Linked DNA regions of Arabidopsis thaliana. The protein of the gene in region 3 binds, or shares a complex with, the protein of the main gene of each other region. Each region holds a gene or a part of one and is shown on either strand. Other genes may lie near its edges.

Region 1 (6,729 bases), on a different chromosome or scaffold from region 3:
AGACCGTCGTTGAGGTAATGCATGTTGTCAACTCCTATTCCTTTGTTAATGCTCTTTCTGTGAACATACACAAGAAAAGTTTAGCGATGCGAAAGAAATTTTATGAGCAAACAGGGGAAACACGGCCAAAATTGATCCTGGTGCAGGTATGTGTATCTAAGGGAAGAAGGAATATCAATAAAGTGACAAAGATAGGGTTACTTGGAGAGGCCTGGAGCCAAGAGACTGTATTTTGGCTAAGATACGAAAGTATATCAAAGCACATGTTTGTATTTTCAAATAAATTCCAGCGAAAAATTGACTTACATGTCCTTTGCTGACATTTTGGTGAAGCCTATTGCTAAGGCATGTTGCTTTCCTTCTGCATATATGGCCTAAACAAATACAGATTCATGGTTTAAGATCAGCATATACAAACAAAAATGCAACCCAGGGAAATACTGTTTTTATTCATACCACTGGCCTTTCAGCCTCGACTTCTTGATCCAGAACGCCTCCCGGGGATGTAAGACCAGGACACATTATGTTTGCACCAGACAGAACAAACTTTATGGCACCTCTATCAACTTGAAACCTCTTCATTATATTTGGGTCTGCAAAACTCCAAACATTCAGCTGCCAAATTTTTGACATTCGTGGCTAATTGAAAAAACTCCAAGTTTCTTTCTATGTATCATTCAAGTATGTAAAAGTTAGCTGAACGTGGTGTTTTCAAGAATATTTTATACTCTTCTGGTAACAGCCAATGCCAAAACCTTCTCACTATGATAAGGGTCAGCTAACCCGGAAAACATAAAACAAAATATACTAAACAAAAATCCTGGCTAACCAATCATACGTGGACCTTTTATATAGTTCACTCGCATGAAAAAAGCCAAAGGAACAACAACTTACAGGAACCAAACCCCAGGAAGTTCTAAATAACTCAGAGAAAAGTGTCGGACATACTATTCAGGTATATGCAGTATTTGAACCAGGTAAGTTCTACTGCAGACCACAGTAAGACTAACAGGTGTGAAGAAGAGTGATTGTATGAATAAAACACCCAGATATGTTATGTTTTGATAACAAGACCATATAGCATGGATGGTGTGAAGGAAAAGTGATATTACATTGATGAAGAAGCCGCAGTGTTGGCATGTATGGCCCGTCACGGATACAGAAGAAGAGGGGGACATTGTTGACAACAACTAGGGTCAGATGGTTTGGGCTGCACGAGAAATATAGTCAGGAATACTGTAAGACATAGATAGTGGGTAAAAGAAAATTCAGAAAACAAAACAATGAATATGAGTTTGTTAATTTACAGACCACTTCACTACGATAAGAGGAATCTTTTTGGGAAGTAGATCCTCCATCACTGATTCAAGTCCCGGGTACTGCAACATTAACATAAACATATTTATATCTGACAAACTTCACGAAATCATAAAAGTTTAAGAAGGGGAAAAAGACAAATGAAACAACAGACATACCTCATCTTGGATACTCTGGCGGATCCTACGTTGAACAGATGCCTTCACTTGGTTTTGTGATGAAATCTCCTCCAAACAAAACCTAAATAAAAAGTAGTGAACATAAATAACACCTTCATAGACATAATGGTATATCAAATAGATCTAAAGTTGATAGCAGTAGGGAAAAATAAACTTTATACAAGATTCACTATGAATGTATAAGCATGTTTCAGGAGATGGATAAACACAAACTCCATGATAGTAGAGAGTTTAGACTGGTCAAATCAAGACACAAACTTTCCTCTATGACCCACGACTCTTTGTACAGATTTGATAAATCAAATAGTGACACTATCAATATAGAAACCAAAACTTTACAATAGCAAGATGTTAGCTTTTGAGAACTCAAAACCTTCTACTTTGAAGAAAATATAACAACCAATATGCCCATACCAAGGCTACTCTAAGCAATCAAATTAACAATGTGGTCGACAACAAGTAGAAGGGAGTGAGTTCTCGATAGTTATTAGAGTAAGTGGATACTAAATAAAGAGACCATCACATTCTTTATCAACTAGTATAAACAATGCCGAGATGTTGAAACCACTAATTCTTAGATTCTACAATCCGGGTATGAAAAACAGTTTCTATCTAAATAAAAAAGTAGAGAAAGAATCTAGAAAGAGACAAAGATGCTTACTTCTTAAACATGTTCGAGGTTTATTGAAAATGATCACCAGCTTCTAACTATGGTATCTTCTTCCCTGCAAGCGAACAGTGGAAGATGATTGATAACGGAAATATCGGAACATCACTCAACAAACCAAAAATTTGGACATCATATCGCAACAAATTCAATAGGAAAAATACTGAAATTCCAAAACAGAAAAACCAAACGGAACAGAGCAGGAACTCACGGACTGAGAGAGACCGTGGACGGTGTCACGGCGGAAAATGGTCTTGGACGGAGTTACTAATCGGCGAATTGAGATTTGAGAGGTGGTAGTAGAGGAACCGAGAGAATGTTTCTCTCAAAAAAATCCCCAAGTGTTTCCGATCTAGTGTCTCTTTTGTCCAAAAACGACAGTGTTTAGGAAACCTAGGAGAATGAATGACCCGATGGTCCGAATCCGATTCGAAATTGGTTCGAATTGTAATAACTAACATACAATATTCCGGTTTGAATGATAAGAAAAAACACATTCGATCCGGTTAGAACAATATATTAACAGGCCCATTAAAACATATGGGCCGATCTTGATCAACTGGGCTATTCATCGTTGATACATGCGGCCGCACAGGATTAAAATCCAGTTCCGTTTTATAAAAGGATACTAGTTTCCAAACGAACGGTGGTTGTCTCCTTTCCAGAACAATCTAACGCTTTCTCGAACATCTTCTTCTTCTTCTTTCTCGAAATTATTTTTCCAGTAATCAATTTCTTCTCTTCTAGATTTTTACAGGAACTAATTTTCTGCTCTGAGGTATCAGATGAGTAGCCGATGGAATCGTACGATCTACGTTGGGAATTTGCCTGGAGATATTCGCAAGTGTGAGGTTGAAGATCTCTTCTACAAGGTTTGAAAATTCCTCTTTTCTCTCGATAAAAATTGAATTCATTATGACTTGTTTGGGTTCATAAATTTGCAATTCTGTCTTGCTGAGACAATTTAAATCGACTCTTATGTATATTTGTTTCAGTATGGACCAATTGTGGACATTGATTTGAAGATTCCACCGAGACCTCCTGGTTATGCCTTTGTCGAGGTATATTGATCAAGTACAAATTTGTTTTTTTCTTCTTCTTGTAATAGTATAGGCTAATGACTAAGATAGTTTGTTATTGGTGGCAGTTTGAAGATCCTCGTGATGCAGACGATGCAATTTATGGACGTGATGGTTATGATTTTGATGGGTGTCGACTTCGGGTTAGTAAACGCATGATGAAAGCTAGCTTAATTTTCTGTAATTTCTTGTAAAGGTGTTATCTTTGTGTGATGTTTTTAGGTTGAGATTGCACATGGTGGTCGTAGATTTTCACCATCAGTTGATAGGTACAGCAGCAGCTACAGTGCGAGCCGTGCACCTTCAAGACGCTCTGACTACCGCGGTTTGTAGAGTCTTCTCGATTGTGTTATTTGGTGTTGTGTAAAATTTTATATTTGAAAACTCATTTTTACTACCTAAACATGTAGTGCTTGTGACCGGATTACCGCCTTCTGCTTCGTGGCAGGACCTTAAGGTAAGGGACACTATATAGTCTTTTTCTCTGAATGTTGGTTCTCTATATCATGTTTTGGATTTATCTCTTTTCTGAAATGATGTTATTTGCTATTTACGGGTGATTAGGATCACATGCGCAAAGCTGGAGATGTCTGCTTCTCTGAAGTTTTCCCTGACCGTAAAGGTGAGTTGACATTCGATAGTTTGGATAAGCTTTTGATTGATGTGTTAGTAAATTAGTCTTTGTGAAGGAGAATAGGTGTTAAGCATCTGAACTGCTAAACTCACATTCAGTATTTCTTTGTAGGCATGTCTGGGGTTGTGGATTATAGCAACTATGATGATATGAAGTACGCAGTAAGTTTTATATCTTTGCAACGCAAATGTTCCTGGACTTATGCCTTAGACTGCTTTTGTTTCATAGTATACCGAGCTGAATTTATCTTCCTGGAGGCCAGTGTTGGATCTTTGATGTTCCCTTAAAATTTTTGATGTGACAGATAAGGAAACTTGATGCCACTGAATTTCGAAATGCTTTCTCTAGTGCTTATATACGGGTATGTTGTATTGCTTTCTTTGATTTTGTTAAGCATAAGTGGATATGGAGTCATCTCTGAATTTACTGTTCAGGTGAGGGAATATGAGTCGAGGAGTGTGAGTCGAAGCCCAGATGATTCTAAAAGCTATAGAAGCAGGAGTCGGAGCCGTGGTCCAAGCTGTAGCTATAGTAGCAAGAGCAGGAGGTCTTTTTTTTTTTTTTTTTTTCATAAACCTAAGACATATAAGGGATTTTTATTGTAACTTATTTATGAAATTAACTGACTTCTAAATGCAATGCAGTGTGTCACCTGCTAGATCCATTTCCCCGCGTTCACGGCCCCTTAGTCGTTCTCGCTCGCTATACAGCTCTGTCTCAAGGTATGAGTGTTAGATTTGTATCATTATTATATATGTAGTTACCCCTTCATGGATCACTTGTTCTTGCATAGTGAACTCCTTACTAGCTTTATTACTTACAACTAAGCACCTTTTGTTGCTTCCGTACACAGTTGAATTTGTTTGAGTCTTTTTTCCCTCATAGTGGACTAGTCTATTGTCACTTGATTTTCTTCCTTTGTTGATGTTTTCTATGTCATGCAAACTCCAATATGGGTAAAGGTTACCTCCTTGTTTGGGATTACCAGAGTTCCTTTTCATTTCTTACACGTGAATGTGTTTGTTTTTTATGTTTTGAGTTCTTGACAGAGATGCTCCCATCATATTTAGTCCTTTTCCTTTCTCTTTGTGTCGTTCTCTTCTGGATGTTTCCTTCTGATAAAGCTTTACTTCTTAACTTTTTTCCAGCGACGGTGAATTTATTACGTATCAATCTTCATTATCCGACTTATAATTTAAAGAACACTTAGCTAGATGTTTCACTTTTTGAAAATTTATTTCTATCGGAAGGGGGAAGATGGATTTCTGAGGCATGTCCTCGATCATTTACCGTGATTACAATTGTATTGCGTTGTTTGTTTTCTAGATCTGGCTCACTGCTACGAGCTGGGGATTGGATCTAGATGGGTCATCTAGATGGATTCTTGGACTGGATTTACAAAGCTGGATTAGCATGAACTTGAACTTCTGTTTTTACGGTCTGGTCTGGTCTGGTACTCCGCGCGTATCAGCTGTAGGATCTGATCGCAAAGTTTTGGACTATGATTACTCTGATTCCTCAATATATTTATCTTTTTGACAATAGTGGATTCTGTGTTGAGTTCTTTTCTAGGACAGCATTTAAGCTCCCGGGACTAGATGGGAGATGGTCAGTAAATTTCTTTGTTATGCCACACTTACATGGGGTTTTTGGTCTTGCTGCAGGTCCCAATCAAGATCAAAATCAAGATCAAGATCAAGATCGAATTCTCCAGTTTCACCTGTAAGTCTAAAAGCTGAACCTTCTTTAATTCACAATCCATGGTGTTTGTTTAAATACCTGCTCACTTTGGTTGTTCTTCAATCAACACCAACTTAACGAAATCATGAGACAGACTATAAAATTTGAAGAGTCTTAGAACGACTAGGTCTCACCAACCTCTGTGTGCACTAAAAATCGCCTCTCCAAGTGTTTCAGCAACATAATCTACCTCTGTCATGTGTTATCATTTCTTCTTCTCTTAACGGTATTACATATTATGTTTTGCAGGTGATATCTGGTTGAAAATGAAAACTGGCCACTGGCTGTACCCGAATCGTCTCAAGCTTCTCAGGCTCCACTGCTAATAGAATTTGATTCCGATTTGGGATTATTATACTGGTCTTCTTGTATGGGACGACCAATATGTCTTTCTAGTTTTAGTTGTGAACCTGGAATTGGTCTGTTATTGTGTCATTAAAAAGCCGGAAACTCTGTCTCGGCTGCATAATAAAGTTCATCAGACATTGTGTTGGGTGTGGTGAGGTTTTTCCATACATATACATTTACATTACAACTACTGGTGTCTTTTATGATTATCTTAAACTAAACTTGCAGTGTTAAAACTAAACTTGCTTTTGTTTTTGGATAAGATCACTCTAAAACGGTACAACCCCTGCCTGTATCCTACCAACAGTAACAACACACTACAGCTCATAGGCCATAGCACCAGAGTTTTGTGTAAACGAAATGGCCCAGAATAATTGCAATTTGGTCCGAAAGTAAAGTCTATTGCGACTGGGCCTGTTCCCTAAAATGTGATTTGGGCTATAGCCGGAATATCAAATAGCGGGTCAACCCGAAACCCGACCCAGTAATTATTCTCTCCCCTCCGAAAGCATCGATAAATCCTCTGGTTTCCTTTGTCCAACGAGTCCATTTTCGCGAGCTTCCGTGTCCAAGAGCTCCTCGACCATGGCGTCTTGTTTACAAGCATCCATGAATTCTCTGCTTCCACGCTCTTCTTCTTTTTCTCCTCATCCTCCTCTATCTTCGAATTCATCCGGGAGAAGAAACTTGAAGACTTTTCGTTACGCCTTTCGCGCCAAAGCCTCTGCCAAAATCCCTATGCCTCCGATAAATCCAAAGGATCCT
Region 2 (5,588 bases), on a different chromosome or scaffold from region 3:
CGTACGGGAACAAGTAGAGTAGAAATGTCTGGATAAGCAATGGAATCAGATTCTCCAAGACGGAAGCATCTTGAGGAACGTAGTAGTAATCCCAATTAGTGAGTTGTCGAACGAGGTATTGAGAAGCGAGTGAGACAGTGGTTTGGAGTGAAAGCTCGAAGAAGATCAAGAAACAAAAGAGGGGGAGAGAGCAAAGGAAGAGGAAGAGAACAAGATTGATGTTACCACATAGAAGCTTTGTTGCTCGTTTGAGTATGTTGATGAAACCTAGATCCTCCTCAATCTTCATCTTCTTTCACAGTTCTCTTCTTCTCTACAAAGAAAAAGGGAGAGTACAGATCTACTACAGTTTTTTATTCGTAAATATGGAGTCGTTTCTTCATTGACGTTGACGTAAGAATTGGTATACCAACAAATCTGAACCAAATTGCCTCAAAACCAAATTTAGAAAAGTATTAAAATGAAAACATGTGGCGGCCGAAGAAGAACAGATTAAAAGTCGAGATTAATTGGGAAAAGAAAAGCATAAGTGGGAAACCAAATCATGAACACAAAAGACTAAGCTAACACGTTTTTCACAAGCAATATAAAAAAGAAGCATCCACAAATGGGTTTAATTTAATGTAAGTGTGTGATCCACCAACAGATGTGTAACAAAGTTGACCGAAAAACAAAAGTGAGTAGAGAAACCAAGTGGTGATATAGCAGCCGAGAGCTAGGAAGAGGACGGGGTGAAGAAACAGATTCGTCTTTCTCAATAGAAGCTTGGTTGCAGACTTGGGGTAGGAGTGGTGAGTAAAGAGCAGGGCAATCTAAAAGTCACACAATGTAACAAGCAAATTCTAGCTGATGTTGGTCGAGTTGAGGATGCAGATTCATGATAAAACTAAGTTGTGGGGAGAGTAAGATGCAGCTGTGCTGCCAAGAGATCCCCGATAAATCATACCTCACAAGGGAAAAAGAGTGGAAACAGTTGAGCTTTTTAGATATGTCTATATAATAAGGAAAGTGCATTCAACAAGAGACAAAACATTTATGGATACGAAAGAACGACCTCAAGTGTAGGGGTTCAAGGACGCTGTGTGAAGACAGCAGGCCAGTGCGTGTTATAGAGAATAAGTCAAGACGGCTGTTGGAAAACAGCATGAAGGAGAACTCACCAAATCCAATTGTCTAATAAAACTCGAACATACCATGACATGTCCATGCTCAACAACCAAACCTAGAAGAGCTAATACCATAATAGCAGATATAAAGATCTATCCTAAAAGGCGCCACAGAGTAGATATAGCATCATAGCTTAGTAATAGCTTCTTTCTCTTCAGGGTCCAGTTTCACACCCTGCAGAAACGCAAACGAATATATACCTTATATCAAAATACTTCAAATGTTATTCACATCTACATAGACAATGCTGAAGTTGAGTCATGCAGATTGAGAAAGTAAACCTAAATCCAAGAAGAGAAAAGAACTTTTACCCATTGGCATATGGCGAACGTCGACCATAGGGCGAGTCTCTGCGGCGAGGAGAATCACGGCGTGAACCACGATAAGGAGGGGATCTGCTGTAGCTCCTCCCACGGCGAGGTGGAGTAACACTGCGACGCCTTGGAGGAGATCTTCTTCCACGCGGGCTTATACTCCTGAACAAAATCAATTCCACAGGAACAAAAATGTATGTCACAAAGCGATTATAACATCAAGAAAGGTACTATCAACATTAACAACTCAGCCCCTATACATGATTACAAAGTGCAATTTCAATGGATATGTTAACACAATGGACATACTAATGACATACTATCTCATCTAAGCAGCTCAATAAGAATGTTTCCGTTGGATCGTTACCTGCGAGCATACCCATAATCTGGACTCCTACGACGACGGGGACTAGGGCTTCTACGCCTCACAGAGCCTCGACCACGGCGACACTCGCGAGCAAAATGTCCAAGCTCACCACACTCATAGCACTTGGAATCCTCAATACCTCCACGACGACCACCACCACCTCCACGACCTCCTTTATCTTTATGAGAAAGCTCCACACGCCACCCATTCTTTCCTGAAGTATACGCCACAAGAGTAAAACTTTTCAATGACCAAACAATAATACAAACATTACATGGTAACTAAGAGGTCTAATGAGAAGAACACTAACGATCCAATGCGCTGATTGCATCCAAAGCATCTCTTTCGTCATCGAACTCGAGGAATGCGTAGCCAGGAGGTCTACGAGCTACCCAGACACTGCGATTTTTAAGATTCAGAGTCATAATTCGTATGGCTTGAAACAAAATTGAGTACAGAGATAGGACTTACTTGCGAAGAACACCGAAGGCCTTGAATTCGTCTTCGAGTTCTCTTTCGGTGACGCGTGGGTCCAAATTCCCGACATAAACCCTCGTCATGTTGCAAAGATCAGTTGAATCTGAACGAAAGAGAATCGAATTTTGTGAAGAAATATGGATATCGATAATAGTTACAGCGAGTAGTTAACAAGGTACCTGAGATTCTTGGTCCTGAGCAGCGAAGCGGGATGTTTTAGGGTTCAGACTCAGACTACGGCGAGGAAAGAGAGTAACCAAGTTATTTCATTATTATATGAAAACTGAAAAGTAAAAAAAAATTAACATCATATATTATTTGGTCATTTATTAGTTATTTCATGGTCCCTTATTTTTCGGTAATCCATATATTCATAAACAAAGTTTTAGCGACCAAAATGTAAGACTAGTCTCCCATAGTCGATTAGTTAACGTAAAAAGAGAATTGAGGTGAAAGCGGATTTTGAAACTATGCAAAACATCTTTGACAACAAAAGTTATGCAAACATGTTTCTAGAGTTTGATGTCTAATTACTGTAACTTGACGTGATTCTCAGTCTGAAAAAAACTAATGGGCCTAAAACCCATAACCTTTTGGTTAAAATTTTAAAAATATGAGCAAGTTTCAGTTGCTTAATGGCCCATATGAGTTGGTTTTGGTTTTCAACTTTTGCATCAGTACTTGTATCTTCTTAAATTTTCAAAATATAGTAGGCTGATTAAATCTAAGTTTGGAGTTGGCAAGTGTAACAATTGTTAGTTTTACATATACCTTACCAATTTACACATGATTGGGCACCTAATTCATGTGAACAAGTCTCTAAACGATTGCACACACACAAAAAAAAAAGAGTCTCATTGTTTAAAATTGCGTCGACGTAAATAGAAAAGGTTTCATCATCCCACCAAAAACAAAAAGACACTTATCCATTGGGGAAAACATTCTGAACCAAGATAAGTCATGCTGGGTCCCACTTACATCGACTCCTCTAAGACTGTGTCTTTGACACGTGTTTAGTTATGATTCGTTTATTTGCAGCCACTGTGTAGACCCCACTTACCTCCTTTTACAAAATCGACATTCAATTTACACGTGTCGCTATTCCCTGGCTTGTCCCTTAAGCTGGACATGGGAGGAATAAGATACTCTTTAATTTTTGGATGGCTATGGCTAAATAGATGGCTCAGAAGAAATAAGATGGCCATAACTTCATTCGTTATCCAAAGCTAACATTAATTGGTTAGTATCAAAATTTCTAAAATTGTGAAATATTTATAGAATATTAGTATTTAAAATTATATCTAATTGTATAAAAATTTTGGGGAGTGATTATTAGTGTCATGTTACTTATTGTAACTATCGTTGTGCATATCAATAAAAATATACGGATTTCAATTTTAAACCTCACATTTACAGATATTTAGTTAGATATTTAAAAGGGATATCTGCAAAATGGACAATATAGATATTCGATTTTTTTTATCGTAGTTAACAAATGCATGATATCATGTATCATATTTACACATACTATTCTTTTTTTTTTAAGTCTAGTAAAACGGATAACGGGTTGAAGAAGGATAAAAACATTTGTATCCAGCCAAGCCCTAAATTGGTATTGTCAAGTGGAAGAGCAAGAAAAGTAAAGAAGAAGAAAGTGTCAATCTGATTCGGATCCAATTACCCAATCCTCGTTGGCTTCCTAAACAACGTGAAAACAAAACACGGCTTATATATGTCAACGTTATTTACATTGACACTTGGAACCATTAACACCAAATGGGGATAATATCGTAAAATAACACATGGTTAGTACTTTAGTGACAATCCTAATGCTGCTTTGTCCCTTGGGGGGTTTGAGAGGCCACCCTGACCTACGTGGTGCCCTTTTAATATCAATACATTCCCGATAATGTGTGCTTACATGTTTTAATTATCTTAGTTTAGTCATATAATAATGACTTCGCTTTTAACTATATTATATTTACTATATGTAATATGTACATGCATGTTGCATTCCCAATGATGTTTGTTCCATTTTTATGTCTTTATCTAAGACTTTTAGTAAGACAAGATAACTCTAATGATCTTTCTTTTTTGTTAAAGTAAGAATATATATCGATTCAATTCATCTTATCAATATGGATATAGTCTTAGATCGTGTGTAGAAGTTTTGTTTTTTGACCAATACATTAAATTGTTTTAGTCTTTTTTTTTTTTTTTTTGCCAACGGATTATGATAATTATTTCTTAAAACGTTACCTGCACTTTGTAGAGATGTGACTAGTCGGTATTTTTTTTGTTAACATGAAACGACTTGTCGTCAACATTAGATTTTTGTATACATGGACACCGCCACTTTGATATAAATTTCTCATGTCTTACCAAATCATAGATTCAATATAGCTACTTAAACTATACATTGAAATATTTTTAAAATACATAAAAACAAAAACTGGAACCGTAAACAAAATTGATGGGATGTTTTTTTATTTGTTTCACGGGAAAAGTTTGTAGAATTTAAGCATGCTACATGCAATGTTAAAAACTGTTGTATATTGTAATTTATTTACACCATTAACATTTTATATTGTGTAAACTTAATGATTTGGCACCAGAGTTGAGTTTTTCTTAGAGTCATGTTTACGGAAAATCTGATTCATTTTGGATAAACTCGTAAACGATAGCTCATTATAAAACTAACCAAACTATCATTTTATTAAAGTAATAAAAAAGTTGACCAGTACCAATATACGACCTATACAGAGTAGGTTTGATGAGATCTCATAATCTCTTAAATTAAATACAAATTTAGCATTACCTTTAGATTGGATTAAGGATTAAAATTATTTCATTTGTTTCAGCCGAAAAAAGAAAATGGTCCACCACATTATCTAGTCATCATCTGATCTACTACCAAACCCTACAATAAGAAGATAATAAGAGGATTGAGGGTAATAATGTCATTTACATACACCTTTATATTATTTTATTGCCAAAATTAGAAAAATAGATCGTAAGAAAACGTGTATATGTGCATTTGGTATTATGTTATTCGGTTTTTATATTTTTCTTGTCTCTCATTAAATTTTCTTCTCTATCCAAACTCTGTATAGCCTGTCCCCAAAGAGTCTCGAGTCCTTATCGTGAACTTTTTTGTTCATTCATCTGTTCCACGAAGAAAACAATTTAGATTTCTCCGTTGAAGTTTTTCGCCGGCGATTTAGTGATTCTCGGAGAAGAAGGTGAGTAGCAATAGTGTGATT
Region 3 (9,096 bases):
TTACAGAAAATTAAAAACATTACATATAATGTAGACTATATAGTATAGTATTACTTATGTGATTCCCGTAATTTTCGTTTGAACTTTGGAATCTTTTTAATTAAATTTAGAGCTATTGATACAAAATAAGCAAACAACTACGCAAGATGATTAACATTTTGCAACCTTAGGATTTGCAAATTCTCTGAAAGATGTTGCAACTCAAATACTTACCTGATCAGAAACCTATCAAAATCATTGTTGAAAATTTGTCACTCTTATCTTTCGTGCAAGTCAAAATTAGGGGAAGCCAAGTCAAATTGAGTTCCAACGAGATCAAGATTCCACTATACGCGAAACCATCTTCGTACCAAGAAACAGAGTTTAGCTATACCAACAGAACCAGCTTGACCCTTTAGTTGCAAGTAGAAGGATATGTAAAAACAACATAAAACTGAAAGAAACTTGAATTCATCATGAAGCACAAGTGTGTAGAACAAAGCAGTGAACTATATGAACCTGAAAATTGTTGACTATGGAATTCTAGAGATTCCAACAACAAACCGTCAAGCTTTTACAAGCTAATTTATGAGGAAAGAAAAATGCAGGAGCAGCTTATAAATAAACCTGCATACTAGATCATAGTTTTCAACAAGTCTTCAAGCAACAAAATAAGATGTTCAATCGAAATGCTCTTGAGCTATTAAGCAGCAGCAGCCTCTTTTGCAGAAGATGGAAAAGCATCGGTTTTTGAATACAGCCCGAGTTCCTCCTCGAGTTTCTTCCACGCATTCAAGAAACTCGGAGGGAATTTCTTCTTCACCGTTCTAATCAACCCTTTAGCGTCATCTCTTTTCTTGTTCTCCACCAATCCCACAACCAAATGCTTCAAAGTGTTGAAATCTGGAATCTTGTGCATATACACACTCTTCTTGAAGATCGCATAGCCTTGCTCGTACAATCGGCTATAACAAAGATGAAATATCAATGTCCTAAAAGTAGCTGCGTTGGGAGCACAGTTGTTACCTTCAAGTCCTTCATACACTTTCTTAGCTTCGTCCAACATTCCTCTCTCACAATACGCAGTCATAAGATAGTTATAGCTAATCGTATCAGGTTTCAATCCCATACTACTCATTTCTTCAATCAACTCCTTAACTCTTTCAGGGCTTTCCTTTTGAGCACTCATTATACGAACATTATACGCTGCATTATCCAATTCACAGCCTTTCTTCACCATCTCATTCCACAAGTTATCAGCTACCTCGAGCTCACCTTTCTTATACAATGAACTCAAAATGGTGGTGAAAGCAATGGTAGTAACTTCCATGCCTTTACCTTGCATCTGTCTCATAATCTCAATGGCTTTTTCAGGGGTACCAGAGTCACAGTATGACTTAATCAATATACCGTAAGAGATTTTGTCAGGGATGATCTTATTGTACCTCTGAGGAATTTCGTCGAACAGTTGGGGGACTTTATCGAAATTCTTGGAATGGAGACAAGCGTTGAGCAAGGCGTTGAAGGAAACAGCTGATCTGGGTGTGCCGTATTGATCCATCTGCTCGAAGGTTCTCATGGCGTGATTAAACATAGAGGCTTGGCCGTAAGATCTGATAAGCGTAGAGTAGAAAGGTTCTTCTTTGATTTTGGGATCATTTTTGTGGGATTCAATTAGGGTTTCGATGTCTGAGAAACGGCGACACTTGGCGAGGCGACGAACAGTGAGCTCTTGGGCGTAGCGAGATGAAACAGGAGAGGCTGAGTGATCGGAGACATTGGCGTAGATCTTAAGAGCTTTGTCGGGATCGTGTTCTTTCCGGAGAGTGGACTTAGCTTTGGAGACAGAGATTTTGCCTGAAGAGGGAGCGGTGGTCGTACCGTCAGCGGCGGCTGAGGCAAATCGGCGAACAAGGCGGAGAGAAATACGAGAAGAAGCCATTTTGCAGAAATGGGTATTGTGGAGAGTGGTGGCGAGAAAAGGAGACGCCTTTAGGGTTTTAGTGGCTTAACAGAGATTTTTGGGTTTTACAAGTTTGCTTCTTTTTCTTTCTTTTTTCTTCTATCAGAAGAGAACCAAACTACTTGAATATTTCAATAGAGAGAGTACTCAACTTCTTGTGTTGATTTAGAACATATGTCACATTTACGAGAGACGAATGATGTTTTACGAGGGACTCATGATGTTATTCTGTGAATAATTTTTGAGATAAATATTTAAGAAATAGACCAAAGATATGAGATAAAAACGTTATAATAAGCAACGTGTCGATAATCTCATACTCTTACAATCACGCAAAAGGGTCTTGAAACTGAAGCAAAGTACTTAACTTTTAAGTAATAGAAAGCAAACAAAGAAGTGATCAGGCTCCATAATCACCCTGTTCAAACTTGTCTTCAGGGTAATACACTGCAACGACTTCATTTCCTCCAAATTTCCTACCATTCATCCCGAATCTTGCCCTAGTCGAGCCATCTGTATCGGCATACTTCAAAAACACCTGCACATTAAATATATCAGACAGTCAGATTACGACTAAATAGAAATATACAAGAAGTAGAGAGAAAGAGAGAGAGATAAGTTTACCTTGCCAAGGCCTGCCACTGGCTCACCATTGGGGCTTGGACGCGGAATCACAACATTGGTCAAAGCACCTGCATTTTAAGAGTTAAAGAACAAAACATTTCGAATACAAGACAAGAAAACACAGACAAAAACAAGTCAGTTTTTTCTTTTAAGAAATAGTGGCCATTGGTGATAAATAGATTAGGAGGTTTATGCAGTCTCCTGTCTGTGTATGTTAGGGCTGATTCTTTATAGCAAAAGGCTGTAAAACAGCACAACCAAGAAAACAGAGAGACAGATCAATATGCTTTTAATCTTATATTTCAAAATAGACCATATTGCGCAATTAAGAGGTCTCTTACCAAACTTTCCGCCTTCCTGTCTCATGTCTTCCATTATATCTCCATACTCCTCATCATCTCTAAGCTCATCCTCAGTAACAACTTGAGTCAGACACACCACAGTGGTTGCCACTGCACCAGGCTGTAACATAACCCTCTGCAAAAGATAAAACCATCAATCAGTCTTTTAATCTTATAAATGGAAATATTCAAGTTAGGTCTCAACACGTTTTGCAAGCTCATTTTGTTTTCTTCCAATATTATTAAGAAGAAAAAAAATTACCTGAAAAGCTATTTGCTGCTGTGCATGCAATAATACGTTCTCTTGTTCAGGCTTTTGTAGCATTGTTCCCTGGTTGGCACGTCTCACTGTAAGAGTCTTATCTCCCATCTTGATACCATTTAGGGCAGCGCACGCGATATCTGTAACAGAAAGATCTTGGTACACACAAAAGGCATATCCTTTAGAGTTCCCTGTTTCTCGATCTTTTACAAGATCAAAGCCCTTGAGGCCTCCAAAGGACTCCAACAACTCCCTCACTTGTGATTCCGTGAAGTAATATGGAAGTCCACCAACAAAAATACGATCTGGTCCCTCAAGCCCACCAGAAGCACCTGGAGTCAGACCAACAGCAGCTAAGTTTAGATGGGGACTGGGCTGGCTTGGACCAAGAGTCGCAGCTAGAGATGGGTTATAGTCACTAGGTCTCCTCACCTTCACCGGAGCTCCCTGGAAAAGAAAAAAAGAAAAAGAAAGATAAGCATTCAGTTGGGTAACCTATATACCAAAGAAATGCCAGTACTAAAACTCAACCAAATATTTGGTAGTGCGGTAAACATTAAAACATACCTCAAATATAATCCCATCCAAAGACATAGCGTTACTTGCCTCTTCAACAGATCGCATCTCCACAAAAGCAAACTTCTTCTCGTGGTTTATGTAGACATTAACAACTGCATCACCTGCGAGTAAGAAAAAAGATTTATAAAAAAAGATTAATCCAAGTATCATAATAGACACTCTAGCATCTGCACCAGGATTATGTACCTGGACCAGCAGTGTTTCCACCAACAGCAGCCATAACTTGACTAAAAAATGTAGCCACAGACTGCAAATACAAAATAATAAATCAATGTTAGTATCATTATTTGCTGAAACATATTTCAGTGGGAGAAAATGAAAAAAGAAAGTGGATAATAACCTGTTCATTTGCCGTAGGGGAAAGCCCACCGACATAGACTCTGCGAGCATGTCTAGTTGCCTGAAGACACAAAGTAAATAAGGATTAAATTAGAACAGAGAAATACATAGTATCTTGCGTATATCCATGATAAATAAAATCTAACCTGCTGTGTCATAGCCTGAATTGGCATCATAGAGAGTCCCCCAAATGACTGTAGGACATAGACGACTTAGTTCAAGAAAGACATCAATTAAGAAAATATTAAAAGGGAAAGACCACAGACCTGTCCAGTCGGCAATGGAAACATGTTGGGAAACATTCCAGCCCCAGGAAGAGTTGGTGGAGCGGGAGGAACTTGGCCTACAAAAGAAAAACAGGTTAATACATAAGAAAATTACATATGAGAAAACCTAGTTTACCATCCCTGGAAATGTATTGGTGACATCAAGAGGTTTAAGTCTGCATGGAAAATTTTTGCAAGACTAACAAAACCAGTGATATGTACTGAGGATGAGCAATACCCATACGCAGTAATTCTTCCTTGTATATAAGAGCTAACCAGCCCACACCCAGTGTTGCCTTACCAAAACAGAAAAGCAAACAAGAGACACAAAGACCACCAAACAACCAAAAGCTCTCAGTTCTAGCGTTATGTCCCAAGTAAAAAAAGAAAGAAAACAGCCTATGTTTTTGTAGTTATTCAGGAGAAACAGATTTTATCAATCCCAGTACGTGTATTAGGTATGAATTCTACATTATGCTAATGAGAAGGTGCTAAATTAAAGAGATATACCTGTAACAGCAGCACCAGCAGCTAACATTGCAGAGGCTGGAGGTGCCATATCGAATCCACTGACTCGCTGCTTACTGCAACAACATATATTGAGTGAGGTTAGAAACTTTCTTAGATTGAAGCAATTACTTCATAGAAGAGTAAGTAATCCAATGAGAAAAAAATGCTACCTTTTCGATGGAGATCGTGACCTTGTTCTGCGCTCAGATCTATCCTTTGAACGAGATCGAGATCGACGACTGCGTCTTCCTCCTCTATCATCTCTCCGCCTAGAAGAATAAAAAATAAGCCAAATCAGTACCTTCCATAAAATCAAAAAGGATTCAATCTAAATTGAAAATGTATAATTCAATTCAAGAACAGTCTACCTATCATGGTCACGATCACGGCTTCGACGGTAATCATCATCATCCCTACCACCACGTTCTCTTCTTTCACCACGCTCCCTGCTATGATCCCTGTGACGACTACTTCTGTGATGACGCTCACGATGATCTCTGTCTTTGTCTCTACTCCTCTCCTTGCTTTTCTCTCCATCTCTATCCCTGCTTCGGCGAGAGACTTCAGAGTCTCTTTCTCTGTCCTTATCACGACCCTTCTCTCTTTCTCTATCTTTACTTCTTGATGTCTCTCTTTCATGGTCACGCGATTCTCTCTGCACATGTAAACACACCCAAAACCTCATCAATTACAGTTTAAGAATCAATGAAACAGAAGCAGCTTTAAAACTAATCATCTCATAATTCGATTCTCAATTCAATCCAATTGCTAGGAAATATAGATTCGAAACTCCAACTATAAGCTAGGAGATTGAAGATAATCAGGGGGGAAATTACCTTGGGTTTCGAGTCCAATTGATCCTCGATTTCGCCGTCGCGGCCACCATTCTCTTCGTCGTAAATCGCGTCAGCAACCGTACCGTTTCCCTCGTGATCTTCGAATTCAGACATCTTTTCGCCGGAATCAACGCTCTCTATCTCTTTCTCACCGGAGATAAATTTAGAATCTGTTTCAGCCGTCGAGATTCGAAGAAAGGGGTGGATGCAGAAACCAAACTATTTTAGGGCAATTACGGATTATTCTATTTTTTTATAGCCAACACGGGACCTCCTGTGAGGGTATTTTTGTAAATGTCATATAAAAACAGGCCGGTCCAAATCTGATAAGGCCCATTATTCAGCGCATCCGGTCCAATAGTTGGCCCAATTCGTGTTTGGGATAAATCTACTTTTTGAGAGTTTTATGAATTTGCCTTTTCAAGATATGGCCCAATCTGTGTTTGAGATAAATTTGCCTTTTATTCCAATATCTCTTGCAACAACAAGAGAACAGAGCATGGGAAGTTGATTGCATTATCTACGACTCCTCCGTTATCACCATTCAAAACTTTAATATGCCGAAGCTATAGCAAGAGGGTTACAAATACATTATACAATTGTAAACCAAATGACATAAGTTAGCAAGTACGACTACTACTACAAGTGTATAATAAACCACAGAGTTATCAATAACAAGAAGTAACGTCGTCACTCAACAGTCTCTCGGAAATATTTACTTATTTCTCATTTACCATCTACAAAGATTTAAACAAAACAAAACATTATACAAACACAATACAACTTTAAACATGGCAACAACAAAAACAATGCAAAAGTACATTAACAAATAAACAAGACTATGGAAAAAAAAAGTTACAAGAGAGGTCAGAACCAAAGTTCTAACCACTAACAACAAACCAAACACACTCTTGACGTACGTTGGCCTTCTCTTTTACTCCTCCGGCTTAACTCTCCTCTTCACCTTCCATTTCCCATTCTTTCTCCATCGGTAGTTGCCGTTCCCTAAGTTCTTCTTCTTGTGGTGGTTGTTGAGGTGGCCACCGCTTCTTCTCTTCTTCTTCTTCACGTTTCCTCCTCTCTTCCTCTTCTCTCTTCGCCTCTTCTTCTTCTTTCTTCCTTTCATCATGTCTCCTCTTCCTCTCATCATCTATTTTCTTCCTCTCTATCTCCACCTTAAGCTTCTCTATCTCTCCTTCCGCACAAGAATGACATTCCAAGATAACAGCTTCCTTCTGAGCTCCCAACAATCCATCAATCGTCACACTACTCACATTAAGCGATGCAGCCAATACTTGCCGGTCAAGCATCCGCAAAGCCGAGTCCTCCCCGGCTAAGAACTGCGGCTCGTTATTCTTAGCTGAAGTAGTAAACCCAACGAACACTAACGAGTCATTGTTGAAAGACATTTGAGCCATTGGATGTAACCGTGGAACTGCGAAAATATCTCCTTCCTCTACTTTAAACCTCACGTTCTTACACTCTGATGATGTGTTTGATGATATCGAAGACCTAAGAACCCTAACCATTCCTGCTCCTTTCAATACAATCGAAATCTCGCAAGCCCATGGATTCCAGTGCGGTCCCATCATCGATCCTTGAGTGAGATTCACCATGGAAACTCCAACCATTGAGCCTTTTAAAACTTTCAGATCCTTCCTGTTAATCGTTATAGTACGACCGTAGGGGCTCTCGAAATCCGGTTCAGATTCGAAAACATTGAATGTCTTCGCTTTCTTCACCTTCTCCTTCTTCTCTTTCTTCTCTTTCTTCTTCTTGTTATCCACCAAGTCTGCACTTCCAGCAAAGAGCTTTAGTAATCGCGGTTGGAGCTGCCAAGTGTTGGCCACACCTGGTGTGCAAAGCGTCTCACTCACGATCAATGGTGGCTTCGTACGGTTCCTCATCAGCTCTATAATCCCCTCAGGAACCTAATTAAAACCATTGAATTTAATATATCACTTAATACAACCCAAAATATCCTCTACTAGAGTAAGTTGGGAAGTAAGATATACACAATTCCTATCTTGCTTCCCAAGTAAGATATAGACAATTCGTAACTTATTCATCGGCAGATTAAGACATACCCCAAAAGCTGACTGGAGAATTGTCTCATCAAAACCAAACATTAGATCTGTGATACTCGAATAGGCACCAAAGCAAGGATCCTGCATCCATGGAATACAGATACAATAAGAAGAAGAAAAAGATGTCAAGAAAGTGAAAAAAGAAAGAATCATATCAAACTTATACATGTAAACACTCATCGTTGTTGGAGAAGATTGCGTAAAGCTTAAGTTTGGTTCCAAGGAAGATATCCACCGGTTTGCTCTGTAAGTAGAAAACCGAACCGGGACGTAGCCTGTAAACGTCTCCTAGTCTGATCTCGGTACTCTTCGCTTCCTCGTCAACCCAATTCAGAATCCCACTTCCTATACAAATCACAATCCAATTTTGACCTAAACCGAAACTGATCTGTAAACCAAACCGAAGAAATTTAAACAGTTTATTATGTACCAGAGTCAACGAAGAAGACCATGTCGGAATGAAGAAGAAGAGGGAGCAAAATTGTGTTTGGCTCCAACGTTATGGAATGTATCTTGTAAGGTCCCATTCCACCGCATCCATTGCCGATTTGAACGGTTGAGATCTGTCCAAACTTCGTCTCGAAGATTGGTTTCCATTGATCTTTCTTAATCAGAAGAGGAGACGAAAACCCGCAACATGAAGGCACAGCGACGTCGTATTCTTCAGACTCCTCCGACTTAGCCAACGACTCAGTGCAGAGGAACAAGAGAACGAGAAGAAGAACAGAGAGTGGCAATACCGCAAATCTAGTCATTGTGCTCTGTTTTTTTTTTTGTTATTCAATGCAAAGCGTATTAAATCGTAGTATCATATAAAGGAATGAGAGAAGAAACAGAGAGAGGTTGTAGAGTCGGACAATGACCACGTGGCTTAATGGTTTGGACACGTGTTTGCTTTACGCTGACAAGTGCATGGGTTCCTTTGTTACCAAAAACAAATTGCCGCTAAAATACAAAGCTCGAGTTTGAAAAATCTGGCTGATAAGTGATCATAACTGTTGATGATAACGTTGTGAAGGTATGAACAACAAAGATGCATAGTTTATATCGCGCGACAGTCGAGTTAAATGACACGGTTCCAAGTGATGGCAGTTCATAGTTTTCATCGATGCGATATTGAGATATGCATGCATATCGGTATTAGTGGATATGCTTATTTTCCAATACTATGTATTAGCATTATTAACATGTGTTTTGGAAATGAAAACTCGAGAATCTTTCACATTTCAATTTCATCTGGGCAGATAATGATCACGGACACGTACTGTACATCAAGGTTGAAAATTTGACAGGCCCAATTGTCCATAGTG

Evidence for each region. Proteins that work in one complex are often made in the same cells at the same time.
Region 1: ATU2AF65A (region 3) and SR30 share a complex: the UniProt entries of both Arabidopsis thaliana proteins name them as parts of the spliceosome.
Region 2: ATU2AF65A (region 3) and RSZ21 share a complex: the UniProt entries of both Arabidopsis thaliana proteins name them as parts of the spliceosome.

The regions. Positions count from the first base shown.
Region 1 is NC_003070.9:2,942,038-2,948,766, reverse strand, and holds SR30 (SERINE-ARGININE PROTEIN 30), read left to right. Parts: upstream 1-2,790; 5' UTR 2,791-2,948; coding exon 2,949-3,035; intron 3,036-3,158; coding exon 3,159-3,224; intron 3,225-3,310; coding exon 3,311-3,385; intron 3,386-3,464; coding exon 3,465-3,567; intron 3,568-3,652; coding exon 3,653-3,699; intron 3,700-3,806; coding exon 3,807-3,864; intron 3,865-3,987; coding exon 3,988-4,037; intron 4,038-4,180; coding exon 4,181-4,237; intron 4,238-4,310; coding exon 4,311-4,423; intron 4,424-4,520; coding exon 4,521-4,598; coding exon of another isoform or gene 4,599-4,611; exon of another isoform or gene 4,612-5,202; coding exon of another isoform or gene 5,203-5,239; exon of another isoform or gene 5,240-5,540; coding exon 5,541-5,598; intron 5,599-5,865; coding exon 5,866-5,880; 3' UTR 5,881-6,229; downstream 6,230-6,729. Other genes in the region: AT1G09150 (pseudouridine synthase and archaeosine transglycosylase (PUA) domain-containing protein), read right to left, coding at 1-57, 307-374, 457-593, 1,113-1,210, 1,312-1,379, 1,476-1,557, 2,158-2,168; AT1G09130 (ATP-dependent caseinolytic (Clp) protease/crotonase family protein), read left to right, coding at 6,550-6,729. UniProt on the Arabidopsis thaliana protein: Regulatory splicing factor that modulates alternative splicing and gene expression in specific cell types. Autoregulates its own expression. Probably involved in intron recognition and spliceosome assembly.
Region 2 is NC_003070.9:8,426,757-8,432,344, forward strand, and holds RSZ21 (RS-containing zinc finger protein 21), read right to left. Parts: upstream 2,730-5,588; 5' UTR 2,505-2,729; intron 2,486-2,504; exon of another isoform or gene 2,429-2,485; 5' UTR 2,409-2,428; coding exon 2,320-2,408; intron 2,248-2,319; coding exon 2,159-2,247; intron 2,063-2,158; coding exon 1,849-2,062; intron 1,644-1,848; coding exon 1,479-1,643; intron 1,342-1,478; coding exon 1,335-1,341; 3' UTR 501-1,334; downstream 1-500. Other genes in the region: AT1G23850 (uncharacterized protein), read right to left, coding at 1-289. UniProt on the Arabidopsis thaliana protein: Probably involved in intron recognition and spliceosome assembly.
Region 3 is NC_003075.7:17,291,797-17,300,892, forward strand, and holds ATU2AF65A (U2 snRNP auxilliary factor, large subunit, splicing factor), read right to left. Parts: upstream 5,933-9,096; 5' UTR 5,814-5,932; coding exon 5,700-5,813; intron 5,519-5,699; coding exon 5,232-5,518; intron 5,133-5,231; coding exon 5,034-5,132; intron 4,938-5,033; coding exon 4,864-4,937; intron 4,431-4,863; coding exon 4,354-4,430; intron 4,282-4,353; coding exon 4,234-4,281; intron 4,149-4,233; coding exon 4,089-4,148; intron 3,996-4,088; coding exon 3,935-3,995; intron 3,850-3,934; coding exon 3,737-3,849; intron 3,617-3,736; coding exon 3,170-3,616; intron 3,044-3,169; coding exon 2,908-3,043; coding exon of another isoform or gene 2,635-2,907; coding exon 2,567-2,634; intron 2,481-2,566; coding exon 2,343-2,480; 3' UTR 2,151-2,342; downstream 1-2,150. Other genes in the region: AT4G36680 (Tetratricopeptide repeat (TPR)-like superfamily protein), read right to left, coding at 683-1,921; AT4G36700 (RmlC-like cupins superfamily protein), read right to left, coding at 6,647-7,630, 7,787-7,867, 7,953-8,131, 8,217-8,541. UniProt on the Arabidopsis thaliana protein: Necessary for the splicing of pre-mRNA.